Bombyx mori: one gene and its partner. The main gene of each other region encodes a partner of the protein of the gene in region 2 in a complex. Links are inferred from orthologs where the notes say so. Each region holds a gene or a part of one and is shown on either strand. Other genes may lie near its edges. The genes, in order: Hsp90 and protein unc-45 homolog B.

Region 1 (16,684 bases), on a different chromosome or scaffold from region 2:
CAATGTTCCCAAAATAATGTCATCTTTTCGGAATCAATACAACAACAGCTGTACTTATTACCATTATTACAATACGACGTGTGTGGTGCTTATTATATCATTTATTTTTGTGAGTGAAATGGTACAGCTTACATACGCTTTTGCTAATTTCGAAGTTTAAAATCGTAGGCTATAAATTTCTAGAAGGTCATCGACGTAAAGTAGCACTATAATAACTCTAGTTTGCGTAAAATTATTACAGAATAAACTGGTTGATCTTAGTGAATGTATTTATTGGTGAATCAATGACAATTATGCATGTACTTTTTAAAACTTTTCATGAAATATCTAATTTCGAATGACAATATTTTCTCAAATTACTCACACGCAGGAAAAAAATGTATGTAGGTATTTTAAACATGATTCTAGGTCATATACACAATTAAAATGAATTCAAACATATGTAGTCGTCGTGGCCTAAAAGCCAAGAGGTCGGGTGCATTGGTATGTAGCGATGCAACGGTGTTCGAATCGAATTTTTCTAATGAAATTTAATACGTACCTACTTAAGATATCTTCACGATTGACTTCCACGGTGAAGGAATAACACCGTGTAATAAAAATCAAACCCGCAAAATTACAATTTGAGTAATTACTGCTGGTAGGACCCCTTGTGAGTCCGCACGGGTAGGTACCACCGCCCTGCCTATTTCTGCCGTAAAGCAGTAATGCGTTTCGGTTTGAAGGGTGGGGTAACCGTTGTAACTATACTGAGACATTAGAACTTATATCTCAGGTGAGTGACGGCATTTACGTATGGGCTATGGGCTCTAGTAACCACTTAACACCAAGTGGGCTGTGAGCTCGTCCACACATATAAGCACTAAAAAAAAATAAAAAAAAGCCTATCAATCTTTCAAGCGATCTTGTCTAAAGAAAGAAATGATTGCGTTTAGGATATAATATAGCGGAATTCAATCAGATGACGTACGTACTAGACATGCTCAAAGGGTTAAAATGCTCATGATGTATCCTTATATTTAAACGTGACTGCCTTTTACCTGGTAGTAGGACGTATTTTGATACCCACTTACGGGTAGATATTACCTCCTACCATTCCTACCTATATTTCTGCGAAGGAATCATGCATTTCTGTTTGAAATGTGGAGCAGACTTTATACAATTGAAAATTCGACTTCATATCCCAAGGATGGTGGCATTATTTTTGTGATGTTCGTGGGCCCTGATAACCACCTCGGATACGACCACTTAAAATTAGGTGGGCTGTACGCCCCTTCCAACACTAGATGACGATCACGACCACTCTGTCAAGAGTGACACGACTGAGAAGAAGAAGAAGACGCGCGTTCACCCATCTACCTACGTAATAAAAATTACATAATATTGACATAGGATAACTTGAGATATTAGCTCGCGTTAATATAATATTTAAGAACGGAATAAGAGAAGGAGTACTTGTACGGAATGAAATAACGTCATTTTTATTTGGTTTAAAAAAAAAGAAAAACATAATAAGCGTTGTTATTGTAAATATACGTACAATCTAATTTAAAATCGGACTTTCGAGAGCCCTATTGTATTATTACTTTAAAGTTCCATGGCAATGTTCCATGTAATTCAAAAAAACTAGGTCAGGAGATTTAGAAAAAAGTTGATTTTAAATAAAAAATTAATCTCGTCAGATATACAATTATACATGCAGAAAGCATTTTTCCTATATTGTACCAATAACCTTATTGACCGAAGATTTTTCTAGAATAGTCATCTAGTTATCGGACGTATAGTAATGTTTCTGGAGTCGTTTAAAATTGCTTGAGTATGCCATCTAGCGTGGAGTAGATTACGTGGAGTATCTCACAGTTATGTCGATAGATGGCAGTGTATTAAAAAAATATAAAATATTCAAAATTACCTAGGTACACAGTTCCGCTGAACGAGGGAACCGGTGGTCGTTTCGCTGGCGGCCACCGGTCCGGCGTCCGTGGGACGGTGGGATGGATGTAATGTGCTCTGCGTCAACCCTGTCCCGCCGTTTCAATAGCCCCGACTGGGCTCTGGCCCGGTCCGAGGTAGGGCGCCGGTTGTGAGCGGCAGGAGTTTTTAGTGAGGTTCAACTCCCACATACCCCACCTGCCGCGCGGGTGGGGATCCGGCGATTTTCTCCTGTGGAAAAAAAAAAAAAAAAAAAAAAAAAAAAGGTACACAGTTGTACAATCCACAAAACTGCTACTACTTAATGTGAACCTAGAAAATATTATTTTATGGTATAGTTTACCTACGCGTTTAAACGAATGTAAGATTGTCTAGACTCTAGAAGGTCTGGGTAACCAGAAACGAAACAGTATATTGAAAATATGTTCAATGAAATGACAAGAACGAATGCATTTTGTAAAGCTCTTGTTGTGTGAACGAGTGATAGGTCGTGCGATCTGGATATATCAAGTCTTATATGTATTGGCTAAGGAGTATTTTAACCATCTTTTTTTTTTTGAATACCCAAACTTTCACTTGAAGCGAGGGCTCACGCTTTCGGACGGAAGGTCAGAATAATTGTTTTGCAGTCCTCTTAAGTCTTTAAATTATAGTTACTATCGTGGTAAGTCAGGTTCCCGACATATCTCAAAATTTTAAGGGCGTACATTACAATAATCAAATTAGGTAGGTACGTGATCCACCTTGACCAACGTACATAGATGCTAACTAGAAATTGCAGATTTTGTATAGGTTGAAACAGACTATGATTTAAATTGCATAGCTTGTTTTTGCATTACAGAGGAATTCTCGAATATCTTTGAATTACAATAATATTCGTTCTAAAATTTAAATATTCGAGTTATACGCCTTACATAAATTTTAAAACAACATTTTTAAGATACTTTAAGTAAAAATTAACGTCAGGCGCAAGCACGTCGAATAATGTAATCACCTAGATTAATTAATTGTTTGGTGTATATTTAATATTTTTTTTTTTACCATAAATTCCACTAATCGCACAAACACAATTTACCCCTACTACTTAGAAGCAGTACATTTCAAGAGCTCGTTTGAGACACGTGGCTTTAGATTGAATTCCTGTCCTGAGTGTTGCTTGAGAGCTAAGATCTTGAGAGCTACAAGGCTTAGCTTTCTCTCTGCCGTTGACGTCCATGAGCGAAGATTTATCGGGAGGGCTGTTTGCTTATGCTTAATAAATAATCGAATAGACATTCATCGCAAGTACGTATGAATTAAATACACGTTAGGTACTGAGAACCAGAAATAAGACTAGTATTTTTTAGGAAGGAAATATTACTTTTGACCTGCAGCCCTTTCCTGTTTCATCAGGACAGGTAGGCGAGCATGTGCACAGCCCACGCCTCCGAAGGAGACCTAAAAGTTCAAGGGCAGCTGCTTCGCGAATGCATCTAGTACTAGATCGACGAGAAACTCAGTGGATACTAATACATTAGACCTCATAAGAGTAAACAGTACTTACGTCTAACACCAAACTTGGTAATCTCTGCATTGGAAAGAATCAAATCTAAAAGTGAATAATCTTTCACAAGACAAAAAAATATAGCTAACATTTTATAATATTCTTAGCAATTTCAACCTCAAACTGTAATAAATTATAATAACGTCTCATGAGAAATTGTATGTACGTATAAGACCCGTGAATTGCATATAATATGTAGTATCTAGTTATGTTGTTAATCTATACTAATATATAAATCTACAGTGGTTTTTACGGATGTTCCGTTATAACTACTGAACCATGCATCCGATTGACTTGAAACTTGGTGTCCATGTAGAAAATACATGTACCTACTTAGTGGATAGGCTAAAATATGAGTGTTGGACTCCCTAATAATAATGACATTTTTTTTATTTTTTTTATTGCCCTTGTAGGCAGACGAGCATACGGCCCACCTGATGGTGAGTGGTTACCGTCGCTCATGGACTTCAGCAATGCCAGGGGCAGAGCCAAGCCGCTGCCTACCGCTACAATAAACAATAATGTTAATTTTCGGATATCCGTGCTACCCGCTGAGCTATTATTGCTCCCATAGACACAGACCATTTCAATAAAGCGGCACGACACACCCTCTCATTGTTGCCGCCGGTAATTACATTCCCGATCCTGCGGATAGAATGGAAAGCAGTCGACGTCGCCCCAAACACATCATTTCGGATCTTCCCGATCCACTAACGGTGCTTTTAGGTACCTCAAGCACCGGTCATCGTTCTCGTCGAACCCGTCGCTTGCGACGAAGGGCTCGACGAGTAAATTAACCCTCAGACACAGCCCACTGAGTTTCTCGCCGGATCTTCTCAGTGGGTCGCGTTTCCGATCCGGTAGTAGATTCTGCGAAGCACGGCTCTTGCTAGGGTTCGTGTTAGCAACGTCGTCTCACCTACTAGTTAAGGTTACGCTGAAATAGCCTCTCAAGGCTCTCAGCTAGGTAGGAAAAAAAAAAAGACAGCCCACGAGTGTCGCGCCGGATCTTCATGGGTCGCGATTCCTCGCGATGTTGGATTCTGGGGAGCACTGCTCTTGCTAGGACTAGTGTTAGCAAATACTTAGGTTGAGCCCGTAAGATCACGTAGGTACTCATTCGCGCGAAGTTGGAATAACCCCTTAGGCTACCTAGTAATCTTAGTAAGCAGAAGGGCATTGTCACGACGAAATATCAATGCATATTACCTTCCGTAAAGGAGTATGTTGGTCGGCTCCGTCAACAATTACCATCACATGAGCCATATGACATCACATGGCATATCGTATTAAATGTAGGTATGTCAATTTTCATTCCTAATCAATGATTAGGTACCTATACCTACTTAGATATTTAGAATCAGATCGGATAGGGCAGATTGTGGATGTAACGTATGTCATTTTAAGAGTTTTTTAACAATAACTAGCTGACCCAGCGAACTTTGTTCCGCCTTAGAGACAATGTACCTATGAGCAGACTTGATTTTATCAAGGTCAATTTTTATTCGGATAATTAATGTAAATTAAAAAAGCAAGTATTTTAATGGTTCTTTATTGGCCATGTATTTTAGTGCATGGGGTCGTCCACTTTTTAGTGAAGCACCTTGTGATAAGACGAACTTTTCGTTTTATTATCAGGTGCAAGAATAAATAACGCAGACGGTCTTCCAACCCGTTAACATGCCACATATAATTGACCATAGGAAAAACATGCATTTTCTAGATTCAGACTACAAACTTTTAAGAATTGACCTTGTGATTTGTTTATGGTAATGGCGAAGGCAAGACGGATATAGTATCCTATGTCCTTCTCCTGGTTCTAAGCTACCTCCCCACCAATTTTCAGCCAAATCAGTTCAGCCGTTCTTGTGTTATAAATAGTGAAACTAACAAGACACTTATATAGGTATATAGATTACAAGGTACCTACATAGTACTTATGCAGTTGCATTCTATTTTAATTAAATAGAGATTTATTCAAACTACGTGTGTAGCAAGCCATTTGTTTGGCATGCGTCACATTAATTTTTGAAACTTCCGGAAAAATAAATGTAGTATGGCATTTGTAACTGCAAGGGTTCTTAAAAATTAAACTGCTTTTCACATATAAGTGGAGTTTTATTGATACATTCAGAGTTCACCTTTAGCTATTTACTAATGTGTAATACTGCACTAAGAACATTTTCAAAGGTTGCCTACATTACGAACAGTAACAAAACATTTATAAAGATACAATATTGTAAGTATTCTGGCACAATTATGAAGTTACTTTAAAAAAAAATCAACAGAAAATCATTTTGATTATTTATTAAAATAATGGAATTTTTGAACTAAATCAGTCTTTGGCTGTACACCGATGCACAAAAACAAACCATTATGACATGGTTCCTACAGTTAAAGTAGAGATCTTAATCAACCTCCTCCATGCGAGATGCATCATCGGCATCACCCTCCAATGGCGGCACATCTCCAGAAGCAGGCTCTTCAACCTGAATCGGCTCATCTTCATCAATACCAAGACCCAGTTTGATCATTCTATAGATACGGGAAGCATGGACTTGGGGCTCATCAAGCGTGAAGCCAGAAGACAGCAGGGCAGTTTCATACAATAAGATAACAAGATCCTTAACAGCTTTGTCATTCTTGTCGGCTTCCGCTTTCTGCCTTAATGTTTCCACAATCGAGTGATCAGGATTGATTTCCAAATGCTTCTTCGCAGCCATGTATCCCATTGTGGATGTGTCACGTAGAGCCTGAGCCTTCATGATACGTTCCATGTTGGCAGACCATCCATATTGAGCAGTAACAATACAGCAAGGAGACTCCACAAGTCTGTTAGAGACAACAACTTTCTCAACTTTGTTGTCCAGGATGTTCTTCATCACCTTGCACAGCCCTTCGAACTTCACCTTATCTTCCTCACGTTTCTTCTTTTCTTCCTCATCTTCAGGAAGTTCTAATCCTTCCTTTGTGACCGATACAAGGGTCTTGCCATCATACTCCCTCATCTGTTGTACTACATATTCATCAATGGGCTCAGTCATGTAGACTACTTCATAGCCACGTTTCTTCACTCTCTCCACAAATGAGGAGTTCGCCACCTGGTCTCTGTTTTCTCCAGTGATGTAGTAGATATGTTTCTGATTCTCCTTCATCCTGGATACATACTCTTTCAGAGAGCAGGCTTCATCACCCGATGCCGAAGTGTGGTACCGCAGAAGCTCAGAGAGCTTAGCCCTGTTTTGAGAGTCTTCATGGATACCCAATTTTAAGTTCTTGCTGAATTGTTCATAATACTTCTTGTAGTTTTCTTTGTCCTCTGCCAATTCTTCAAATAGTTCTAGGCATTTTTTAACTAAATTCTTCCTAATTACTTTCAGAATTTTATTCTGTTGAAGCATCTCACGTGAAATGTTTAGAGGAAGGTCCTCACTGTCGACAACACCTCTAATGAAGTTAAGGTACTCTGGGATGAGATCCTCACAGTTGTCCATGATGAAAACTCTTCGTACATACAGCTTGATATTGTTCTTGCGCTTCTTGTTTTCAAACAAGTCAAAAGGTGCACGACGTGGCACAAAAAGTAGTGCACGGAACTCTAACTGACCTTCAACGGAGAAGTGTTTGACTGCAAGATGGTCCTCCCAATCATTGGTAAGGGATTTGTAGAAGTCTCCATACTCATCTTGGGTAATGTCATCAGCGTTTCTGGTCCAGATAGGCTTTGTCTTGTTGAGTTCTTCATCCTCTGTGTATTTTTCTTTAATTGTTTTCTTCTTCTTCTTCGTATCTTTTTTGTCCTCGTCTTCATCCTCACCTACATCTTCAATCTTAGGCTTCTCATCTTCCTCTTCCTTCTTTTCTTCTTCGGCTTCATCATCAGACAGTTCTTTTTCGCGTTCTTTTTCAACCATCAGCTTGATTGGGTAGCCGATGAACTGGGAATGTTTCTTTACGATCTCTTTGATTTTGTGTTCTTCCATGAATTCTGCCAAGTCCTCTTTGACGTGAAGGACGATCTTTGTACCTCGACCAAGGGGCTCACCGCTGTCTGGGCGGACTGTGAACGAGCCTCCTGCAGAAGATTCCCACACGTATTGCTCGTCGTCATTGTGTTTAGAGTGAACAGTCACGCGGTCAGCGACCAAGTAACTGGAGTAGAAGCCAACACCGAACTGTCCAATCATGCTGATGTCGGCACCTGCTTGAAGAGCCTCCATGAAAGCTTTAGTACCAGATTTCGCGATGGTTCCCAAATTGTTCACCAAATCGGCCTTGGTCATACCAATACCGGTATCGATGATCGTAAGAGTGCCCTCGTTCTTGTTGGGAATGATCTTGATGTACAGCTCTTTGCCACTATCGAGTTTTGACGGATCCGTGAGAGATTCATACCTGATTTTGTCTAAAGCGTCCGATGAATTGGAAATCAGCTCACGAAGGAAAATTTCTTTGTTGGAGTAAAAGGTGTTGATGATCAGGGACATAAGCTGAGCGATCTCAGCCTGGAACGCGAAGGTTTCAACCTCCGCTGGCTGTGTCTCCATTTCTTCCGGCATTTTCTTTACTGCTTTTTGTTTAATTCACACAAAATGACTAGAGGGTTTTTAACACACGTGTTTCAAAGCGCAAAGTATCGCACGTTAGTCTCTGTACTTCTCTCAGTTCAAATAACGCCGGGCGCGGTGTGTAAATTCGTTTTTATACTTTCCTCTAACAAGCGACATCTATGAATCAGTAGAAGTTTCTCGATTCTGACGCTATTTCCGTCAGAGAGCATCAACATTTTACCATCAATACAAACCGAAACAATATTAAATAAAAATAATTAATCATTTCAAATTAATTGGCAATTATTTCATTTTGGGAGGCCATAAAACGAAGAGAAAAATCATTTACTTAACACTGCAAGTTTCTTTTTGTATTAGTTATTATTGTATCACCCGCTTTGAAATTTAAAGTGTTAGGAAAAATATATTTCCTTAAAATAATTCAAGAAATTATAAAGGTAATTACATATTTCGTACATTTTCATCAATAGATTCACTAAAATATGCCAGACTAGTTAAATAAATAATTAAAACATAACAGAGAAAAAACCTTTTTAAGTAAAAGAAACATCTCACATTTTAAATTTTCCTAAGCTGTTCAGTGTTTCGCATTTTGCAGATCACTAAAAATATACAGCATAAATGTAAGAAACCAAATTACAACTAAAAAAAATTTATTAAGGCAGTGTAAATTGCATCCAATTAAATGTAATTGTTAGTTAAAAACACAGTAATTTAAAAAACTGGGGAAAATAGCAAAATAAATAAAATTACCAAATGTTGTATAGCTCTGCCGAATTATTTTAGTGCCGCTATTTGGCACAAGGTGGCAATACGATCTACACACAAGAATATCTGGAACATTCCTGAATATTCTAGAAAAGCATCGAAATTTTAACATTACAGAAATAACTTAGTTGAAATTAGAGTCAATAAATGATACAAGATGAATGTTAAATAATTTGACCACAAAACTTTTCCAAATTTAATCAAAGAATCATCGTAATTCGTAAGAAATAACATTTTACCCAGATCATTCCAACCGCTTCCTTCTTATAGTTTTACTATTCACCGCATTCGGCGCTGGCTGCTTCCGATGAAATTCTTAACGAAATTAGTAATACCAATAAATAAAAAGCACATAATTCGTTCCATTTTTTGACGTTTTTTTTTGGACAGTAAATCTCTTTATCGGGGTGTATACGTTACGTAAATATGTCGCTAATAGAGAAACCGTGATTATAGCGCGATTATAAAGGATATTCAGTTGAATACTGAATATTGGATTTCTTTTTATCAATGTCTATATTGTATCGATTAGATCCGCGAATAAAGAGATCTTTAATTGCGAAAATAGGAATCGGGTCACATTTTAATCTGCGAATAGTGAAAACGCGAGTGAAGGAAACGCGAATAATGAGCTATTATTGTATCATAATGTAGATTGGAGAAAACATTGATTAAAATTACAATAGCAAACCAGAACGTAGTAATGTTCAGTTTAAGATGAGTTACTTGTTTTGTTCATCAAAAGTAAAGTCTTATTGTTCATTTAGATGTCAGAAATCATTAAAATAATTGTTCCTCGTCTTCTCCTCCTATACACCCTGTATCAAATTTGTGTTCTCGTTATCTACAGGTAGAGGAAACTATCTTTGCCTCGCGACATTATCTCGCAAAACCTACAGATCTTTAGTCTCATCTTTCAAATAATGCAAGATCCACCTGATACGTTCTCATTATCACTACTAATTTTAACGCCAAGAGCAATAAAAGCATGGTTCAGCTAACTCGTCGACGATTTGAATGTGATACTGAGCTCTAAGCTTCTCGACACGGAGTAGATGCACTCGTAAAGTAACTGTCCTAGTACTATTAAACCCCTTTTGGAGGCACTCTGGCGGCTATTAGCAAACTCTTTCCCTCCAAGCTGTGTTTTTGAGTTAATCCACCCGTCCTTATGAAGCTGTTAAAGTCTCCGCCCACCAGCAATAGTTATAGCCCATAGTTTTATGCCACACAAACTGAAACGATTAGCCAGAAAACCTTCACGAAAGTGGTGTAAATTTAATGCTAATCATCTTACTATTTCATCAACACGTTTAAAATATAATTAAACACAAACCATAATAAAAAATTGCAAAGAAGCGATGAATTCTGACAAATTTAGTTATTTCACTTACAATAAATATTTTTTTATTTGTTGGCAGCACTGCTTTAGGGCTATTGATTAAAGTTGAAATTGCATGAGCGCATAGTGCGCAAACCTTATCAGATTTCACATCATAATTTTTTTTTAAAGACTATCGATATTTAAAGCGAACTGAGCCATGGAAATGCCGATTATTTCCTAGAATAATTAATTGAATCAGACTGAATTACGGAAATAAAAACATAACCTATATTTCAACTTTTCAACTTGTGGACATAAAAATATTGAAAAACCTAAATGTAAATTATATCTTTTTTCAAGTTGTTTAATTAGAACTAATTTTTAGAGGCTGATTATGGTAGGTAGAGAGAGCCGTAGAAGTTTACGCTCTATGCTACTAATAGTAGGTAGGTAGGTACCTTTAGATACCTAAACAAATGTAACATTCTTTGCCACTTCAAATGCAGATTTTTCTTGTTTAGGACAACTTTATAATTATAATAATATCTACCTATGCTTATATGACGTTTAAAAAATTATGGCAATACTTATTTCTAATCCAATTTTGTTGAAGCCGGCGTTTTAACCTAAGAAAAACACGTGTTTCAACAATGAGGAATTAAAAGAATTTATCATGTATCTAAGTTTAATGACCTTTTCATACAAAAACTCTCCGGTTACGGAAAATTAGATAACATTTTTACTAAAAAAAGGTAACTTGAGTTCAGACTAATGACTATTTCAAATTTTGCGTAAACTGAACGAATAGATAGCATTAGAATCTGCTCGAATATGTTTATTTCACTATTTGAAATGCCTGACAACAACAGCTATTTTATGCAAATGCCACTGTATCGTAGACAGCTATCCGTAATTTCATGTTCTAGATAGGTAAGAATATAATTACATAGGTACCTATTTCTTTAATTTGACTCGTAATATCGACATAATGGACCGAATTGTAAAACTATGATTTAATTAATAAAAATTTGATTAAAATTAAGTTTGTAATTACCGCAGGAAACATTTAAATGATTTTAATTTAAAGAAACCATAAATTTATAAAGTTTATGACTTTTGTAGAATAGGGTGGAATTAAGAAGTTGAAAAATATAAAAGAATCCACAATAGGTTATAAATGAGTTTGCAAAATTTATTGCGCCTGAAATTTGTTTTGGGCAATATTCAAACCGGTGTTATTGCGTTTGTCTTCGTATCTTACCAGTACTTATTTTGAACATTTTATATTATGTGCCTAATACATAAAACGTTTTTAGTCTAAATGCTAAACAGACGTCCACATTTAATAGCCCCAGCCTAGGATTTTTGTTTTGGGCATCGGAAACAAACATAATTTGTTAATGGGCTTTGGAAAACGTTTACCACCATATTGGTTCTGAGTTGTACATAAATGAGCAGTGAAAAATTTTCAAGACAAGCAAAAATAAACTTAGACCCCAAAATATGTGTTTTATTAAGAAATTGCCTGCGCCCTGTACTGGCATCCCGAGGTGGTGGTTGGTACCTACAATGAGCGTCACTAACCCATAGACAGTTAGGAGTGGGTGATATAAATCGTATATAGATTCAATATCTATATATCGCAGCAGTATCGTTGAATCCGATATCGCCCCGCACGAAATCTATATATCGATATCAGCCGATACACGATATTGCTCGATGTGATGCGCATCGCCATATCGTACCGATTCGTGAATCGAAATCTATATTTCGATATCAGCCGATACACGATATTGCTCGATATGATGCGCATCGGCATATCGTACCGATTCGTTAATATCAGCAATATTCATTTGGTTCGTATCGAATCGGCCAGAGTGAGTGAGCGCACGATAGGGATATCATGTGATGAATGAAACAGAAACAGGCATTATCCATACAATTGTAAACCTTATATTTAAGTCCATATGTCTGTAGATTATTCTTAGCGTATCAGCAGGATACAGTTAAGGAAAGAAGTTTCAACTTTCGACCCTAACTTGAATGCAGTATAGCCTATTTGCATCGTTGAATTTAATTTCACGCGCTTTGACCTTGAACTAGAATTTTTGGACAAGTGTTTATAAATACTTAAAAGTTTTTTGTGTTTGATTTTTAAAGTACACATTTTTCTATTTTTAGTTGAATCCAAATAATTGAGTTTATTTCTTGTGTTTGTATTAAACTTTTGAAATCTACACTCTTTTGGTATATTTTGTAATTTTAAATTAAGACACAAAATACTAAAAACTGAAAATAATGTAGCCAGTCCTAAGCCTGGTAAAAGCATGAAGGAAAGTTTTTTTGATATTTTTATTTTCATGTTCTTTTTATTACTTTAAGATCATATTATAAATTGATATCAGAAAACCAACCGTATAACGTTGACTTAAATCTATATCTACTACGATATTATATCAGCGTATCGTTTCAAATCTCAAATATCATGAATCGAGAAAATCTACTAGCATCCATCAATATATAGATTCAGAAAATATATAGATTCAATATCCGATATTGATCCTCGATATATAGATACGATTCGATACGCGGCAAAACCGATATTACCCACTCCTAATAGACACTATCAAAACTAAGCATATGTAATTTTTTTTCAACTAAAATTGAAATCCGCGGCTATTTTTAATTTAGATTATTAGAGTAATGATTAGACTCTACCCTATCACTATCACAACTACGCCGCTGCTTACTTTAGAATACTCATAAGACTAAGACTTGTTTAAAGAAAACGTATTATGTAGGGGTTCACAATTATAGCCTATCATTGATAATTAATGTCATTCTGCATTTTAGTTTCTGTTTATACTTTTCTTTTTCAATAGAATAATAAATAAAATAATACATATAAAGAAAACGTTAATTTTGTAAACGTTGCGTTCATACTTTGAAGTTCTTTAGTAAGTAGATTGTTTAATATTTTCATATTTTTAAGCTCATGCCCAAAAAAATTATAAAGCGTCGGTATCAAGGCCATAATTTAAAAATAATGTTCAAGTGTTCAGTAGACTTTACTAGAACGTTCGGTCATGGCATCGCATCGGATCGTTCAATATCAAAAGTCGGCTAAAAATCTAGACAAATAATGTTAATTAGTACCATCTAGTATTGACATGACGAAATTATTTTCCACATTTTATTGTTAACAATTTATTTTGAAACAAATAACTGTGAGTTTTCTATTCGTCAACAGATGGCGCGGTAGCAAACTTTCGCGAAGGTTCCTAAAGTTTCTCGACAATTCGAGGTTTTGAACTTTAAAAATATATAAGCGAAGCGAGGGCGCTGCAATCACACACAGGGGGGTGCAACTCCCATACAAAGGAAAAGAACATTCAACTAGCGTCATCTTTAGGAACCGGCGAGGTCATTTTTGAAACGTTTTGGCCTTAATGAACTAATAAACTCACTAGATGGCAGATACGAGTTCTGACTCAATAAAAAAGGTTAGCGTACTTTGAAGCAGTGCTTCCACTTTTAGGGAATTCTCCCTTTTTTAGGGAAAAATAGCTGATATTTTGGATGATAAAGACAATTTAAAAAATACCAGGATTTAGGATATTTCGGGGTAAAAAGCAAAGCCTATACTAGTAACTGTTGTGAATTTTAAAATAAACGGTTTTTAAAGTAAAACAATGAACATTTTATTTTATGGAGAGAGAATGACATTAAGTCGAGTTGACAAGTAAAAGAATAAAACAGAGTTGTGTATAAAAACTATTAAGAAGGTTTGATTCAACAGTAACCCTCTAGTAAAGTAAATCATAGATTAAGCCACTGCTTTTTTCTTAGGGATTCCCCAGAATCCCAATAAGTACAGGGTGGCCCATAAGTCCTTTGATATGAAAAAAAATTTATTAAAATAAAACTAATTACATTATGAATTAAATTTTTATTTACATAAAAAGCTTAAAAAACGGGAATTATTTTTTGAAAATAACATCTCCTAAATGTAATCCGTTGCGATCACGGCACTCTTGCAAACGACGTCTAAAATTGTCGATGACTGCGCGGCACGTCACTGCTGAAATGCTTGTCATTTCTCTGCGGATGTTTTCTTTTAGGGCCTCAATTGACCGCGGGTTTGTGTCGTATACTTTAGCCTTAAGGTAGCCCCACAAAAAAAAATCCATCGGGGTCAGATCTGGACTACGTGGAGGCCAGGAAATGTCTCCTCTCTTAGAGATAACTTTGCCAGGAAAAAGTTGACGGATAACGGGCATAGCAGTGTTAGAGGTGTGAGAAGTGGCCCCATCCTGTTGAAACCACGTCCTGGCATTAAAGCCTGAAAAGTTTTGCAATTCTGGTATGAAAAACTCTTCGATCATAGCAACATATCGCTCCGACGTAACAGTAACTGCGCGCCCTCTGCCATCCTCAAAGAAGTAAGGCCCTAGGATACCATGGGCTGACATAGCGGCCCAAACAGTCACTTTCGGACTATGTAAGGGCTTCTGATGCTTAAGTTTTGGATTGATGGGGCTCCAATAGCGGCAATTTTGTTTACTAACATGCCCGTTAAGATGGAAATGAGCCTCGTCAGAGAACATTATGTTATTGAAGGAAGTAAACCGATTCAACATTTCATTCGCATAATTTTGTCTTTGAATACCGTCAGTTTCCTTTAATTCTTGAACCAACTGAATTTTGTAAGGGTGCATATGTAAATCTTTCTTCAAAATCCGTTGTAACGATGTCCTGGATACGTTTAATGCTCTGGCGCGCTTACGAGTTGACTGTGTCGGATTTTCGCGAATAGACTGTGTCACTGTGTCTATGTTTTGTTCCGTACGTGACGTCCTTGGGCGACCCAACCGCGGTTTATCTAACGTCGAACCGGTCTCCTCGAACTTAGCAACCCAGTTCTTAATCGTTTGAAGAGTTGGAGTGTCGTCAAAGTTGTGTAAACCTTTGTGTTCTCGAAATTTACGCCGCGCAACGGTTGCCGAATTGTCTTTTTTATAAAACTCGCGCACACAAAACGCACGGTCCGCTCCGGTAAAACGCTCCATCGCGACTAAATTCCCAGAAACCGAAGTTACTCCCCCCGCTTCCCCTGCACCGCTCACGCGCGCCCTGTTCGTTTTATTCAAATTTTACTTTTCAAAGGACTTATGGGCCACCCTGTATAATCCGCCAAACTTTTATTTACCTATTTTCGTTGATGTCACCAGAACTTACTTGTATTGTAACATACAGGTACTTCATGTACCATGAAAGATTATCATGGTAATTTCATTTACGAAAACCTTGTAATTGTCATTTCACTTTTGCTAGCAGTTCCTTCTTCAAAGACTGAGGTGGAAAGATTATTCAGTGTTCTCAAATGTAAAAACTGACAAAAGAAACAGGCTTTCTAATGAAACCCTGAACGGCTTGCTTCATAGAAAGTTCCCAACTTTGCCAGCAAACAATTGCTCAATTTTAGAACCGAACAGTGTTAGGTTGCGTGCAGCAAAAGAATATAAAAGCAATGCGTCGACTTCCTTGAAAATTCTAATCCTATAGATCTATGATCTTCTGGGGGCGTTTATATTATATATATCTACATTAAATAATATGCTGTGGTTTATTTTCTGTATTTTATTTATGCTTTCTATATAAAGGATTTATGAAAGTTGTCTAGGAAATTTTAGGGATAAATTCAAAAGAAACTAGGGTAAAATGTGTTAAAAAAAACTTAAGTGGAAACACTGCTTTGAAGTTTTCAAAATTCCAGGGCCGTAAAACAATCTCAAAAAAAAAAAAAAAAGTTTTCAAAATGTCGTAACGATTTAATTTTTTAAATCGTTTTTTTTTGGTCTTGGTGTGAGTTATTTTACGTTGTAGTATTAATTTAGAGCATCTTTTAGCTTTATGAGAATATTAGACGATTAGACATTGAGAAACTCTGTTTTGAATTCTCTTTAGACATAACTTGGTTCCAATACTTTTTTCTTCGTTAGCGTTTCGTAAGCCTGTGTAACTATTTTCGTTTCTTACAGAAAGTTTATTATTAAAAATCAGCATGCCTCGAAGATCGAAAATGAAATGCTATTTCGGATGCCTTGATAACGGTGAGTTTACACTATTTTCCCGGTATATTATTTGCTAACAGAATTATTATTCATAATATAATTAAATGAATTAGCACCAACTAATGGTCCTTCCTATTTCTGCTGCCTAGCTATCATATATGTTAAGTTTGATTAAAACAGTCGGTGTTAAGTCTCGTACTATCACACACACACCTCAGATAATAAAATTGTCTCGAGTGGGTGGAAGTATTTATGTTTTGCAACTCAGCGTATTATATGCTTATTGTCAAGTGGGCCCGAACTAGTTTTTTGGAATGATCAATCAGTCATGCTTTCCTGTTTAAATAAAATACAGCACAATTGATCTCACATCCAAAGTTAGATGATGGCATTCACATTTTGTTTCCTGGTGTTTGATAACCAAGTGGCCTGTGACCACGTTCATCCTTCTACCCAATATAAAATAATGTTT
Region 2 (16,647 bases):
ATTAAGGAGTTTCCACTGATACACTCTGCCACACACGGGACACCTACCTGCATCCTTACCCTTGTTTGCTGCTTCTTGCATTGAACTTGTTACCAAACCATGGGAACCAAGGAGGTGCCTCTCTAAGCCTTGATCTGTAAAAAACCTAAATTGACATTTTTGACAGTTCAATGGTGGCCTGTTATATATCATCTTAGGGTGTATTTTCACTTTGTGTATCCACTGCATGTGGTTCCTTAGCTGCTCTAAGTCTTTAATATAACCATCACATATTTCGCAGATGACAAAAGTGGCTTTAGAATTGTGAGCTGATTGTGAGGAAGAAGGCTGTGGGGCTCGAGGTAAAGGAGTGATTGATATTTTAGGGGCGGCAGGTGCATTGCTTTGATTATTTACGATTGGATAGTTGGAGATTGTCGTTCCAGGTGGAGTATTATGCATAATCATGACACCACTCCTTATTATTGGCATTCCTGACACAGCAGAAGGACGTGGTGGACCTGAAAGGGGAGGACGACCTCGCGGTCTTCCCAACATGGGCATATTAGGCAAGGCATTTGTAATGTTCAATTGAGGCCTGCCCATGTTATTCATATTAGGTCTATTATAATTTGATTGGTAAGAACTCATCATATTATTGCGTGCTCTGGTTAACTTTGGTATTTTTGCTGGGGGTTCCCATTCTAGAGGAGGTCCTAAGTTAAATTCTGGCTTGAATTTTTTAGCACAAGCAATCAAATGTCGAGCCAGTTTTGTTTTACTGTTGTCTTCAAAATGACAGTTAGCACATTGCTGGTATGCAGGAGCCCGTTCCAATCTGCCCCTAATATTGTGTTCTGCCTCCATATGGAACAATATATCATGAGGACTTCGTATTTCAAACTCACATGAATTACACTTGTATATGTTACTTCTCATGTGAGGTGCTTCAAGGTGATGAGCCATAACTAACATAGATTCAGTTTTAAAACTACAAAAATCACACCTTCTGTGTGAAAGAGCAAATGGTGCATTTGTTTTCTTGCTGAAATCTAAGTTCTGAGACAAAGATGCAATTGCAGCCTCCGTTGACTTGGTACTGCGTCCTGATTTCTTCTCTTTATAGAGCTTGCGCTGTTGTTGCTTTAATAAATCAGTTTGAACATACTCTTGCACTAAATTCAGTCCAATGTTAATAAAAAATTGTCCTAATGAACAATCAAAGTAACTGTCTGGCTTTCCACTTGAAAGGCTTTTGGCAATAAGGCTGATTGGGTCGGTGGTGTCACTGTCCTCTTTTTCTTTAATTACTACAGCATCATCATCACTGAGAGCTTCTTCCTCTGACTCAGAGGATGATTCACCGTCCCAAGAATCATCATCATCATCATCAGTGCGTTTCCATCCTTGTTTTTTCTCTTTCTTTTGTGCAACTTCTAGTTTTCTGGACTCCTTAACCTCATCATCTTCCTCTATTTCTCCTCTTTCAATTCTTTCCTTCCTCTCTTTATCTCTCCTTTCCCTCTCAATCTTTTCCTTCTCTGCTTTTTCCTGTTCTTCTTTAATTTTGAGTTCTTCAAGCTCTTTACCAAGCTTGTCCACAAATTCTCTAAAAGGCTTTAGAGAAGGTTTCTCATAAACATATGGAACAATGAAGGATGGTGCTTCAACAACAAACATATCATCTGTGAGAGATGGCAGTATGTTGGGAGGTGGAGCTGCAGGAGTACTATTATGAGCACTGTTCTGATTTGCAGTCTTATTACTAACTGGTGTGATAGTAGTGCCCCGAGCAGCAATGCTTTGGCACAAGTCCTGTTGATCCATCATACTAGTAGTAGTAGTTGTATGCATTTTGCTTTGCAACGGGAGAGGCCCTTTGCCAGCAAGTATTGAATTTGTATCAATAATAACAACTGTAGGCTCTTTATTCTGATCCCCATTTGGTTTAGTCTGTTTAGAAGCTAAGTTGACCAAACACTTTGTATCATTTATCACAATAGGTTTGTTAATGCTTTGTGTTTGGTTTAATGGATCCTCCATAGCAATTTCTTCAATATCAGACTCATCAGCACCATTCTCTTCTAAATGTTCAATGTCTTTCTTCTCTGTTTCCTTACTACTGTGTTGGGATCCTTCTGAACTATCATTACTTACTGTACTTGAGTTGGAGGAATCATCTTCATTTGTTACACCCCCCTCTTCCTCATCATCATCACTAGTAATTTCATGAACTTCTGGTGCGGGAGAGCCTCCATTTTGATTTTGAGGCTCAGTCTCATTTTCAGAGTCACTACTGTCTTCTTTTGGGTGGCTTCCTTGTGAGGTGTCATCATCACCTTCTGTGCGTTCATCTGTAAATTGTAAATGCAACTAGTTATTTCAAACTGTTCTTTTCATCAATAAAAGCACTGAAGTTGTAGAATATACTACTGTAGTGTATATTGATTATTTATTAATGTAATACTCATTGACTACTAATATTTTAATTTAAGTAACAGTGTCAATTGTGTTATTTTGTTTGTTAATTTTTACCTAATTTAATACTTTGCAAGCAGTTTTGTTTATATCAAAGTAATTTAGTACTAATAAATTATTATTAGCACCTTCATGATTTCAAATAAATTAATGTAGAGAAGTTTGTAGTAGTGGTTACTTATTGTACTGTAATTAGGCCTTATCTTCCACTTAACTTAGAAAAACAAAACAAGAAATTTTAAAGTAATGTTTTGATTATTTTATCTAAAATTTTCTAAACACAAACAGGAATGAAAGTCAAAACAATATACGTAACAAAAACTTCGGTATATAAAAAGTCTATTTTTTTTTTCGAAGAGACTAGAAATCTAGTAAAAACCGGACAATCATCGTAACCTAAACATCGTGAAAAAATAGCGAAAAATAATTGTTTCCCGCTACTCCTAAGAGCATATTGAGTAGGTCAAGCAAAAAAAATGTTTGATTTATTGAATAGCGTCATTATATCATGTGAAGTGTGGACCGCCATATGGGATTCCATGGCATTTCTACAAGAACACAACTCCACCAGGTTCGACGGTAAAGACTAAGAAATAGATTTAAAAAATGAAATGTGTTCATTTAGTACAGTAAGGTGCATACCTGTAGCAGTAGAAATCGACATTTTCTTTGGATTTTCCTATTAAAAATCGAAAAATAGCACAACAGTACAGTAGCGGAAACCAAACCAAATCAAGCTGTCATTTTGAAAGAAAGGTCTCTGGCGGAGTTTGGCGTGTTGCGTTCCGAAAAAAAATAGTTTACCGTTACATTTTACCCGAATTTATAATACTAATCTACTAATGTTAATATCCTTGTAGTATGTACCTACATCATAAAAAAAGACTTAAAAGAATTTGATTTCCAAAAATTAAGCAAAATATAACTTGATAACTTATGTTTGAAAACAATAGAAAGAGAAATATAGTAAAATTCAATGGTGAATAAATGATCGTTAGGACCGACACAGCGTATGTCTCATAGACTCATAGATATATTTTCGGTACATACCATAGATGTTTCCCACCTACACCCGATCCATCTCGGCTGCGGCTCAGCTAGTCAGAGCCCAATCGCAACATATATGAGAAAAAGTAAAACGCGCCATATTTAAAACGCTAAATTTCCGGACAAATCTCAGTCTACACTTCAGTCGATTGTACCAGCTGTTTCTAAATCACGACGACGATTTCGGCGACGATTCCTATTCCAAAGCATTAGTAATTGCGATTGCAAAATTTATGTTACTATTTTTAGCAACGCAATGCATTCAATTGAAAATTTGCTGCCTTCGCTCTAATTGCGCGTATTTACGCTATAATAACTTGCTTGTAGCCAAGTGGTAATTTAGACTTAACACCACGTAAACCCACATGGTCGTTCACACATCTACTCTATGAAAAATGCTATTTAAGAAATAAAGTCATTAAACTATGATTCGTTCATAACTTTATTTTATCAAATAATTTTACAAGCATACTTAGGCGTCTCAACATTTTATTTTTACTTTTTTGGTCGGTAGGCTCGTGGGGCTATTCATTCTTCTTCAGGCTGCTAGGCGAACTCATGGGGCTCAGCCTGAGAGAAGCTGCCAACAACTGCTATAGCCAGAGCAGTGCTTTATTTAATCTACCACCGTATCGGAACCGCAACTCACTTGAGAAGATCCGGCGAGAAATCCAGTGGGTAACATTAACAAGTAAGTTTGTGTAGTTCTGGTCACAAGAGTTATATAGTTCGATCATAGAAGGAATCTCTTTTAATTTTAAGAGTAGGATAGATGAAATAAATGAGGTTTCGACTTCATATCTCAAAGTGTGACTTATTTCAAACGAAAAGAACTCTAATATTGTGGATAAATTTCGGTGCTCGTTTGGCAACTAACCTGTGATGGTAAAATATGCCATTAATAAAAAATATATTTAAAAATTATAAATACAAATTACAAATTCTATGCAAACAATTTTTTAACTAAATAATGTATGTATATTACTTTCAATATTTTAACAAAACAATCCTACAATATTATTTATTTCTTTCAAAATTTATTTGGGAATTTCTTAAAAACACCAATCATTATGCCTCAGGCTTTCTTATGACTCCTAAGTCCTCAGCTGCATTTAAACATTTTTGAGCATATTCATTGGCTCTGATGTGTGCTTCATCATTTAATTTAGACAGTGCCATTAATATTTCCATTATATCAGTCTCAAATACTTTTGCAGCAAAATCTTTGTCATCTTTTATTATATTGTACAACATATAGGTTCCTCTGTATTGTATTTCTGAGTTTGGATTTGCTAGAAGACACCTTAGTGTTTCAGGCCATTGCTCGACATCTAGTAATTTTCGACAGCAAACTTTACTAACTGAAGTCAATATACACAAAGCACCTGCTGCAGCGGTGACTGTATCCTCATCTTCTTCTTGGCACAGTAGGAATAAGAATTTGGTTTTGTCATTTTTTCCTTCATATGATTTGACAACTTCTTCAGACTGAAGTAAGTTACAAATACACTGTGTGGCTGCTCTAATAAGCATCATATGGTCTTCATATAGGTAATGTTCAATCTTAGATAAACCTCCCTCTTTGATTATTCTATTTCTGGTTGTCTCATTCATTCCAGCTAAATTGCACAAAGCCATTAATGCTTCAAAGTTTTCCAAGGCTGTACAATCTGGATGTAATAATGCCAGTAAAGGTCTAATGACTTCCAAATTTCTTTGACCAGGGAATGCCACCTCTGGATTTATTGTTATCCCAATTCTGGCTAAAGCCTGAGCAGCTTGTTTTTTTCCATTTTGAGTACCCTCAAGAGACATTGGTATTAGAACTTTTGCTCCACCTTGTTGTACAACTAGGCCTCTCAATTCTTGCAAATTACAAATAGCATTGAATACTCTAGCTATGAGTTCTCTTGAGTTGTGACTCTCCGTTTTAGCCAATGCTACCAAGCCACTGGTTACACCAGCTTTTGTCAATACTGATATTCTCTTGCTTACAAAATCAGGATCATCCAATTCATGCTGTTCGGGTACATGATGCTTAGCAAACTTGGCTAGTTCTAACATTTCAGGCATCATTTCCTGCTTTTCATATGCATTACACAAGTTAACTATAGTGGTTACAACACCATATAGGCATGACTGATCACCAGTTTTAGCCAACTCAATCAGAGCTTGAATAGCTGGCTTATCTTCAACTAGTTTCTCTTTAACATCTGCATCTAAGGTTAGATATGAGAGACCTTCAGCAGCCCACTTTCTCACGTCATTATCTTTAGATGGATTTACCAAAAATTTTCTACAGGCTTCTGCTAGTTTTTTTGTGGAACCTTCCGCGAATGGGCGTATGGAAGCATCATCACCACCAAAACTGCCAATTTTACATAAGCCTACTAAGGCTCTTACTCTGACTGCATCATTTTTGCACTGGTAAAGTTTTTTCAAGATATCAACACCTTTAGTAAGTATGGCTCTGGCTTTGTCTTTCTTGGATGCAGCTGCTATCAAACATTCACAGGCGACTTTTTGCTGCAGTAGGTCATCAGTTTGAGCCATAACAAGAATCATTTCTATAATACCATCTTTAGATATAACATAGTTACCAACATCTAATGGGCCTCTAAGTAGAGAAGTGATGGCTACAGTTACTCTAACTTTTGATTCCAGATCAGGACTGAGCAGTTTGTCTTTAACAAATTCATCTACCTGCTCATTAAATTTCTCTCTCGCCTGGTCATAGTACATGTTTTCATATATTCTTGCTAAACAAGCTGCTGCTATGGTTCTTGAGGATGCTGTGATATTCATGGCAGATTCATATTTATATTCATCCAGTTCACTGCAAACTTCTAATAATCTGTGCAGCCCTTTGATTTCAACAAATCTTTCTGACCAATTGATTGCACTGTAGTGGCAATTCCTCATGATTAGTTCAATGAGAGCATCTCTAGCCTGTCCACTGATAACCCTATTGGTGATGCAATAGGTGATACAGGTGAGTAGAGTATCTATTTCACTTTTGTTTTCCTCACAAAGTTTAGGGTCAGGTTTTGATTCCTGTTTATTGTCCATCCCTGAAAATGAGTTAAGTATGATCTGAAGGCAATACTGAGCCGCATTCACTCTCTTCTCATCAGTACTGTCAATGATTTCTAAAATCCACGGTATCCCAACAACTTTCAAAACTGCTCTTGTTCTTTCAATGTTCTTTTTGCAAATTTGACCTATGACACGGATAGCATTGATGTAAATTTCAGAATTTTTTTCCACTTTTAGTAGTTGTTGAATTCTTTGAACTACACCATTTTTTAACATTACCTCAGCACCACTGTTTTCTTTCGCTAAAACTAATAGGTTAGCCATGGCCTTCTCACGTTTTTCAATATCTTCACCTAACCCAAAAGCCAACTTAAACATTTGTTCCACTTTATTGCTTGTTTGAGCATTTTGGCGAGCTCGCTCTTGTACTACAGTGTGTAGACGTGATAGAATAGGTTGGACAGCTTTGTTAGTTGGGTCCACAGTAAATATTGTTTTGGCATCTCTGTAGGCTTCTTCAAATCTCTCCAAACATTCAAAAGCTTGCGATCTCCGGAACAAGGCTTTCGGATCTTCTGGTATTATTTCTAGAGCTTTATCACAGTCACTGATCACTTTTTCGAATTCTTTGGTCTTTAAGTAGGCTGCGGCCCGATTTTTTAAATATGTTGCAAGGTCTCGGCTGCCTTTTTCGGCCAAATTTATCGCCTTAGTGTAAAAAGTGATTGCCTCCTGATAGTTTTCAGATTTAAAAGCATCGTTTCCTTTATTTTTGTAAGACTCTGCTTCCTCTTGAACAACCATCGTGTAGTCCGTTTATCTGCGAAGCCAATTTCCGTTTTATTCTTCACAGTTCTTTTACAGCCTGCTTAATGTAAATGAAGATTATTCTGGTAAAATCTGGTGGTTTCATTTCAAGACGAACTAAAATAGAATTTTATTTTTGTCCCAATGTGTAAACTAGGGATGTCGATCTGAGATTCTTTTTTTAGAGATATTTTTTACTGATGAAAAACTTCGATTTTTTAATCGATTTTAGCCGATGAATCGTTCTTGATTGTGCGGTTCTGATCTTATACCTAACTGTGTCCTTACTAACTAATCACCATATTCCAAACCATTGCATGCGTTGGGAAAGATTCATATACATGGAATTTGCGTTCATTGTGAGTCGAAGAAAACAAATGCTGTAGGGCGTAATTTTTAAGTACAAGAGGATGGGTTTTCTTTATCGCATCGAGGCCAATAATGAAAAATAGATTCAATACATACAGCAACCTATGGAAAAAAAAAGTTTGAGGACTGCCCGATCATGAATCTACGCTATCATGTCGGCCGAATATTCATACTACGAAGGTTCTGCTTGTGTTTTTTTTAGATTTTTTGGGGGATTTAATAGGACCCGGTCGGCGTTATTTAGAGCTGTTGGAATGGCAAGAAATGGGGAATGCTATCGAACTGAATTAATGAGATTAAGCTGAGCACGTTGCGAAAAACGGCAACACTTACCGGTGGCGGGACCTCTTGTGAGTCCGCACGGGTAGATAGGACCACCCTGCCTATTTCTGCCGTGAAGCAGTGATGCGTTTCGGTTTGAAGGGTAGGGCAGCCGTTGTAACTATACTTAGAACTTATATCTCAAGATGGGTGACGCGTTTACGTTGTAGATGTCTTTGGGCTCCAGTAACCACTTAACACCAGGTGGGCTGTGAGCTCGTCCACCCATCTAAGCAATAAAAAAGCTAACTTTTAAAAACAGCTTCGTCATCATCGAGTTTTAGAATCATATAATCTCGATATTTATAAATTTTGGTTAGACAGTAAAATTTGAGGGGACTGTGTCCTGTAGGTGAGGGGCTATTTAAAAACACTCTGCTTCATGATTAATATAATTACATTGCAAATACTTTGAACACTATTACACTATTATAATATTTTATCTATACAAAACTCTTAGATGTTGCTCTGACCGTGTCTAGATGAGAAGTCGTTGTCTTCACTGACGAGAAGACAATCGTTTGATTTAAACATTTAAAAGCATTCCAATATTCGAAATCTGTAATCTTACATGTGTCAAGTGTTGCCTGCCATTACTTCCTTAATCAAACTCTAATGCCGGCCACTGACATGCGCGCAAATATTCGTACATTGTACGAATGTTTGCGCGCATGTGAAGGGCCGTCAAACATTCATTCGCAAACCTAGCAGCTGTGCAAATGGGTTCGGTACTCAATTTGCGAACCCGTTTGCGCTTCCTCCCACACTTGTTTACGAATGTCTCACGAATTTCTCCTCCTTTTTAATTCGTCAATAGAACATTGAAGAGAAAAAGAGTTTTTAATTCCTTCCCAGACATCATTAACAGCCATGCTGTTTTTATGGGATTTCTTTTGATGAAGATACGCTACACAGTAGACGTCACGAACTATGAAAATGGCGTATAGTATACGTCCGTTACCCATTCCGATAGAGGCACCCGTCACGTGCGGACGTGCTCATCGTCCACTCGATCGCCCGGTCTTTGTTAGCCCGGCCATTGTTCGCGCGGCCTGTGTTTGTGGTACATCTGCCGACTAAGTGCTCTTTCTGGAAGTTTTTATTTGTTTTGTTTCCTTTTGTTGTTTCTGTGTTCGTGGTACATCTGCCGACAAAGTGGTTTCCTGCAAGTATTTATTTGTTTTGTTTCTTTTCGTAATTTCTGTTTTGTTGTGCTTTTTCTTTGTCCTGTAGTAATCGCGCCGCTTTGCCACCTGTGTTCAATAGAACCGCTCAGGTCCGAGTAGTTGGGGCCTCGCCGCAAGGCGAGTGTTTTCAAGACCCGGGGCCGCCCCACCTGGGTACTCAGCGATCATGGACGCTGTATTCGCGGAATTCCTCCGACTTCGCCACCCACAGCTCGCCTCGGAGTTTTTGGCCTTCAAGGCCAATCACACTGCGAGCCCTCTCGAGGACTCCGCCGCGCTCGCTGCTCCTGCGTCGCCTGTACCTGCGTGCAGAGCTTCTGCATTGAGCACCGCAGCCTCTGTCGTGCCTGCCGCTCCCGTGTCGCCTATACTGGCGAGAAAAGCTGCTGCGTCGTCCGCCGTGACCATCGTTTCAGCTGAGCGATCATCCGCGGCCTCCGTCGCGCCCTCTAAAACACCTACACTTGCTCGTAGGTCGCCTGCACCCGCCTCCTCGTGCTCCGACTCTGACTCGGACATGGAGGTCGACCTCGCCCCCGCCTCATCGACGGATGGATTCACCCTGGTACAGAAGGGTAAGAAGCGTGCCGCGGAGTCTCGAGCTCCCGCGGCCGCTAAAATTAGCAAAGCCGTGAACGCGTCGCGCCCCCGCCCTCAGACTCCCGTTGCGCCCCCAGCCCGTGCCACTCCGTCGCCGCGTCCGGTGGCACAAAATAAAACCCAGACCCCTCCCCCGGTTATCCTTCAGGAGAAGGCAGCTTGGGATCGAGTTTGCCTGGCCCTTAAGGCCAAAAATATAAATTTCACGAATGCCCGTAACCTCGCGAACGGCATTCAAATTAAGGTTCAAACACCCGACGACCATAGGGCCCTCTCTTCTTACCTCCGTAAGGAGCGTATAAGTTTCCATACGTATACGCTCCAGGAGGAGCGCGAACTCCGCGTTGTAATACGCGGAATCCCTAAAGAGTTAGATGTAGAGCTCGTAAAAGCCGACCTGTTAGAACAAGGCCTACCAGTGAATTCTGTGCACCGTATGCACACCGGTCGCGGTAGGGAGCCATATAATATGGTTCTAGTCGCTCTCCAGCCTACCCCCGAGGGTAAGAAAATCTTTAACACACAGACCGTCTGTAGGCTCTCTGGTATCGCTGTCGAAGCCCCCCATAAAAAAGGCACTCCTAGCCAGTGCCATAACTGTCAATTGTACGGGCACTCTTCCCGTAACTGTCACGCGCGCCCCCGATGTGTTAAGTGTTTGGGCGATCACGCCACGGCCCTCTGCGCTCGCGACCAAAAAACCGCGACGGAACCGCCTAGCTGCGTCCTGTGTCGAACACAGGGTCACCCCGCGAATTACCGTGGTTGCCCCCGAGCCCCTAAAATAAATCGCCGCGTCGCCCGCCAAAACCGCCTCCGAGCTTCCGGCCCAGACATCAAAGCCTCGGCACCCTCTGCGTCGCAGGCTAAGCCAGCGTTCGTTCCGGCGGCGGTGCCCAGTGTCTCGGCCTGGGCAAAACCGCTGCCGTACACGAACACGGCTACAACTCCCTCCTCCGCGATTCGTCCCGCCCCCGCGACTCGTCCCTCTCCCGCGACCTGCCCTCCGACCGCGTCCGACAATCTCGCTTTAGCGATCGACTTCTTTCAGTCGATCAACTTTGAGCGCGTTAACGCTTTGGGCGACGCCATTCGCGCTGCCTCCACTGCACAACACTTTATCGCCGTTGTGCAGGAATACGCCGACGTATACGCGTCATTAAATACGTACGTCCTCCCCTCACTCCGCCGGTAATCAATGGCGTATATAAGTAGAATAAAGCCCCTATCCGTAACGATAGGATTTTTTAACGCTTACGGTCTCGCAAATCAACGTGATCAGGTTTCTGACTTTTTGCGTGACCACCAAATTGATATCTTTTTAGTGCAGGAGACCCTACTTAAGCCCGCGCGCCGTGACCCTAAAATCGCGAACTATAACATGGTCAGGAACGACAGGCTCTCTGCCCGTGGTGGTGGTACCGTCATTTACTATAGAAGAGCCCTGCATTGCGTCCCGCTCGATCCTCCCGCGCTCGCTAATATCGAAGCATCAGTGTGCCGAATCTCACTGACGGGACACGCGCCGATCGTTATCGCGTCCGTTTATCTTCCACCGGATAAGATCGTTCTAAGCAGTGATATCGAGGCGCTGCTCGGTATGGGGAGCTCTGTCATTCTGGCGGGCGACCTAAATTGTAAACACATCAGGTGGAACTCACACACCACAACCCCGAATGGCAGGCGGCTTGACGCGTTAGTCGATGATCTCGCCTTCGATATCGTCGCTCCGCTAACCCCGACTCACTACCCGCTAAATATCGCGCATCGCCCGGATATACTCGACATAGCGTTATTAAAAAACGTAACTCTGCGCTTACACTCGATCGAAGTAGTTTCAGAGTTAGATTCAGACCACCGTCCCGTCGTTATGAAGCTCGGTCGCGCTCCCGATTCCGTTCCCGTCACGAGGACTGTGGTGGATTGGCACACGCTGGGCATCAGCCTGGCTGAATCTGATCCACCATCGCTCCCGCTTAACCCGGACTCTATCCCGTCTCCTCAGGATACCGCTGAAGCCATAGACATCTTAACGTCACACATTACCTCGACATTAGATAGGTCATCGAAACAAGTTGTAGCGGAGGACTTCCTTAACCGCTTCAAATTGTCCGACGATATTAGGGAACTCCTTAGAGCTAAGAACGCCTCGATACGCGCCTACGACAGGTATCCTACCGCGGAAAATCGTATTCGAATGCGTGCCCTACAACGCGACGTAAAGTCTCGCATCGCCGAAGTCCGAGATGCCAGATGGTCTGATTTCTTAGAAGGACTCGCGCCCTCCCAAAGGTCTTACTACCGCTTAGCTCGTACTCTCAAATCGGATACGGTAGTAAGTATGCCCCCCCTCGTAGGCCCCTCAGGCCGACTCGCGGCGTTCGATGATGACGAAAAAGCAGAGCTGCTGGCCGATACATTGCAAACCCAGTGCACGCCCAGCACTCAATCCGTGGACCCTGTTCATGTAGAATTAGTAGACAGTGAGGTAGAACGCAGAGCCTCCTTGCCACCCTCTGATGCGTTACCACCCGTCACCCCGATGGAAGTTAAAGACTTGATCAAAGACCTACGTCCTCGCAAGGCTCCCGGTTCCGACGGTATATCCAACCGCGTTATTAAACTTCTACCCGTCCAACTCATCGTGATGTTGGCATCTATTTTCAATGCCGCTATGGCGAACTGTATCTTTCCCGCGGTGTGGAAAGAAGCGGACGTTATCGGCATACATAAACCCGGTAAACCAAAAAATCATCCGACGAGCTACCGCCCGATTAGCCTCCTCATGTCTCTAGGCAAACTGTATGAGCGTCTGCTCTACAAACGCCTCAGAGACTTCGTCTCATCCAAGGGCATTCTTATCGATGAACAATTCGGATTCCGTACAAATCACTCATGCGTTCAACAGGTGCACCGCCTCACGGAGCACATTCTTGTGGGGCTTAATCGACCAAAACCGTTATACACGGGAGCTCTCTTCTTCGACGTCGCAAAAGCGTTCGACAAAGTCTGGCACAATGGTTTGATTTTCAAACTATTCAACATGGGCGTGCCGGATAGTCTCGTGCTCATCATACGGGACTTCTTGTCGAACCGCTCTTTTCGATATCGAGTCGAGGGAACCCGCTCCTCCCCACGACCTCTCACAGCTGGAGTCCCGCAAGGCTCTGTCCTCTCACCCCTCCTATTTAGCTTATTCGTCAACGATGTTCCCCGGTCGCCGCCGACCCATTTAGCTTTATTCGCCGACGACACGACTGTTTACTATTCTAGTAGAAATAAGTCCCTAATCGCGAAGAAGCTTCAGAGCGCAGCCCTAGCCCTAGGACAGTGGTTCCGAAAATGGCGCATAGACATCAACCCAGCGAAAAGTACTGCGGTGCTATTTCAGAGGGGAAGCTCCACACGGATTTCCTCCCGGATTAGGAGGAGGAATCTCACACCCCCGATTACTCTCTTTAGACAACCCATACCCTGGGCCAGGAAGGTCAAGTACCTGGGCGTTACCCTGGATGCATCGATGACATTCCGCCCGCATATAAAATCAGTCCGTGACCGTGCCGCGTTTATTCTCGGTAGACTCTACCCCATGATCTGTAAGCGGAGTAAAATGTCCCTTCGGAACAAGGTGACACTTTACAAAACTTGCATAAGGCCCGTCATGACTTACGCGAGTGTGGTGTTCGCTCACGCGGCCCGCACACACATAGACACCCTCCAATCCCTACAATCCCGCTTTTGCAGGTTAGCTGTCGGGGCTCCGTGGTTCGTGAGGAACGTTGACCTACACGACGACCTGGGCCTCGAATCAATTCGGAAATACATGAAGTCAGCGTCGGAACGATACTTCGATAAGGCTATGCGTCATGATAATCGCCTTATCGTTGCCGCCGCTGACTACTCCCCGAATCCTGATCATGCAGGAGCCAGTCACCGTCGACGCCCTAGACACGTCCTTACGGATCCATCAGATCCAATAACCTTTGCATTAGATGCCTTCAGCTCTAATACTAGGGGCAGGCTTAGGGACCCCGGTAACCGTACTCGTCGAACTCGACAAAGAGGTCGACGTGCAACCTAACCCATGCATCAGCCCGCTGAGTTTCTCGCCGGATCTTCTCAGCGGGTCGCGATTCCGATCCGGTAGTAGATTCATTCGCGAAACAATTGCTCTTGAGTTGTTAGGTCTCCTTCGGAGGCGCTCGGGCAGTTGTTAGCAAATCCCACCCCTCTTGGCTGAGCCTTTGCTCGCCCACCTGTCCTGGTGAAACTGGAAAGGCCTTCGGGCCACCAGTAAACTTTCAATCATAAAAAAAAAAAAAAAAAAAAAAAAAAAAAAAAAAAAAAAAAAAAAAAAAAAAAAAAAAAAAAAAAAAAACGTCCGTTACCTTCGCAATCGTCGGCGCAACTGGGCAAGCGAATGTGTGGGAGACTACGCGAAGGTTCGAGGTTCGCGCGCTTTGATGTCTGTTAAAAAACCGACACAGCTTGGAAAACCACGAATGCAGCGAAAACTTTGCATAATCATTCGCAAATGTCGTCCTACACTTGTGGGTTTGCGTATTCGTGCGCATGTGAGTGACCGGTGTGACAATTTTAATGGAAACTAGCACGTAGGATCTCTATGTAGTCAACGTCAATTGTAGTCTGTGAAATTTATAATCTATGGTAAAATCTGTGATCCATTTTTGATATCGGCTTGTACGAAAGAGTTTCCTCGTGATTAATTGAAACTGAAAACGTATTAAACGAAATGGCTGCCATTAGTTTATTAAATCCTAAAGCCGAGTTCGCTCGTGCTGCACAGGCACTTGCTGTAAATATATCCGCAGCTAAAGGAATTCAAGATGTAATGAAAACTAACCTTGGTCCGAAAGGCACGATGAAAATGTAAGTTATAGAGCTATTTACGTTTAAAACTATTAATGTAATTTGTAGAACATAATATTTCCGGCCTTTGACATCATATCCAACTAAAACATTGTTTCACAACTAAGTAATTACAGATATATACACCTTTCAAAATTCACATGTTTGAGGCGCTACACATACTAAGGATTGGTTATCACCTACATGCTTTACTTTAGAAAACACTAAGCCTGAGCGATTGCGATGCCGTCTAAACAAATCTTATGATTTCGAACAGTACCAGAGAAGCATATCACGTATTCATAAAAAGCGATCCACCACCACCCCCTCCCCATCAATATCATTTATTTCATAAAACCAAACTTGTACCAGAGTTAACTCGTGACGAGTGAACGAACAATGATTATTTCGATAGTGCACTATTCTTTGTATAATATAGATTAAATAAAATTAAATTTTGGTGTTTCAAATAACTTTAAATCTTAATCATCTACATAGATCTTTTTATCTTCTATTTTTTTTTAGTTATTCAATGACAAAACTGAACAAAAAAAAAGTCTTTACTGTCACAGTTTATCCAAAGTTATTAAAAGAGATTGGTACATGCTTAAATTGGCAAAAAAAAAACAATTTTTTTATTTAAAAAAGAACTTGAATTTCTATTATACTCCTGTACAATACGTTAGACTGTTACAATTTGTAATAAATAAAAAAATTAAAAACTTTCGGAAAACAATATTTCTATTTCAATACAGTAGCACTGAAAGCGTTTTTTGTTGGCTCTATGCAGTTATCCATAGTTTGTTCCCTAACGACATAGGCTCTGCTGCAGAACTATGATTAAACTTAATATGCTATGGAATTGTCAATTGCTATTGTAGTTAAAACATTCTCAGTCTCTGTACTGTTAGAATTAAGCCGTTTTTTTTTAAAACATACATCCTATTTTATTTGTCTTTTATTAAAGTATCCTGAAGTTTGTTAGTATTTAGGCCATTAGTTGCAAATACACATTTCATAGATTAGGTATCAATGAAGTTAAACTTTTAAGTTATAATTCGTTAGCTTCCAATGGAATACTAGAAAACCATTTGTATGGATACTCATTGTGGTCTAAAGGATAAGATGTCTGATGCATTTTTATGTAGAGATGCAGCAGTGTTTGAATCCCTGGATCCCGAATACAAATTTTTCTAATGAAATACATACTTAACAGTTGTTCACAATTGACTTCCACGGTGAAGGAAAAACAGTGTAATAAAAATCAAACCTGAAAATTATAATTTGACTAGTGGTAGGATGTCTTGTGAGTCTGTACGGGTAGGTACCACCTTGCCTATTTCTACGGGGAAGCAGTAATGCGTTTCGATTCGAAGAGTGGGGCAGCTGTTGGATCTCGAGGTGGGTAACAGCATTTACATTGTAGATGTCTATGGGCTCCAGTAACTACTTAACACCAGGTGGACCATGAGCTTAAGCAACCTCCACCCAATTACAACAACAAAAAATTGCCACCTTTCCAGCTCTAGCTCTTTAACATTCTAATATTCTAATAACTTCAAAATGCTTGCCTCCATAATAATTGTCACATTATTTTCTAAACAACATAATATTATAATATTATTAATGGTTTTCATTTTGAGAAATCAAAATTGTGTAACATTTTGTTAATAATGCAATGACTATTTAAATTCCTTCCAGGTTGGTTTCTGGTGCTGGGGACATAAAGATCACCAAGGATGGCAATGTTTTGTTACATGAGATGCAAATCCAGCACCCTACAGCCTCACTGATTGCTCGAGCGTCAACCGCTCAAGATGATGCCACTGGAGATGGTACAACATCTACTGTCCTCCTCATTGGAGAGCTACTTAAACAGGCCGACATATTCATCAGTGAAGGTTGTTATATATATTTAACTTTATATTTCCTTTTTTTTTATTGCTTAGATGGG

The links.
Region 1: the proteins of protein unc-45 homolog B (region 2) and Hsp90 are in contact, whole or in part, in a crystal structure (PDB 4I2Z), measured with the Caenorhabditis elegans proteins. The link is inferred for Bombyx mori from reciprocal best matches to the Caenorhabditis elegans genes unc-45 and hsp-90. Residues at the interface, in NP_497205.1 of Caenorhabditis elegans: Arg12, Asn16, Val19, Tyr31, Val48, Arg51, Asn52, Met55, Lys59, Val81, Lys82, Phe85, Arg86, Asn113, Asp114, Ile117; in NP_506626.1 of Caenorhabditis elegans: Ser696, Arg697, Met698, Glu699, Glu700, Val701, Asp702.

The regions. Positions count from the first base shown.
Region 1 is NC_085133.1:8,890,706-8,907,389, reverse strand, and holds Hsp90 (heat shock protein 83), read right to left. Parts: upstream 8,127-16,684; 5' UTR 8,035-8,126; coding exon 5,884-8,034; 3' UTR 5,573-5,883; downstream 1-5,572. UniProt on the Caenorhabditis elegans protein: Molecular chaperone that promotes the maturation, structural maintenance and proper regulation of specific target proteins involved for instance in cell cycle control and signal transduction. Undergoes a functional cycle that is linked to its ATPase activity.
Region 2 is NC_085122.1:9,732,296-9,748,942, forward strand, and holds protein unc-45 homolog B, read right to left. Parts: upstream 7,828-16,647; 5' UTR 7,345-7,827; coding exon 4,573-7,344; 3' UTR 4,344-4,572; downstream 1-4,343. Other genes in the region: MOG interacting and ectopic P-granules protein 1, read right to left, coding at 1-2,333, 3,100-3,121; chaperonin subunit 6a zeta, read left to right, coding at 14,578-14,714, 16,395-16,594.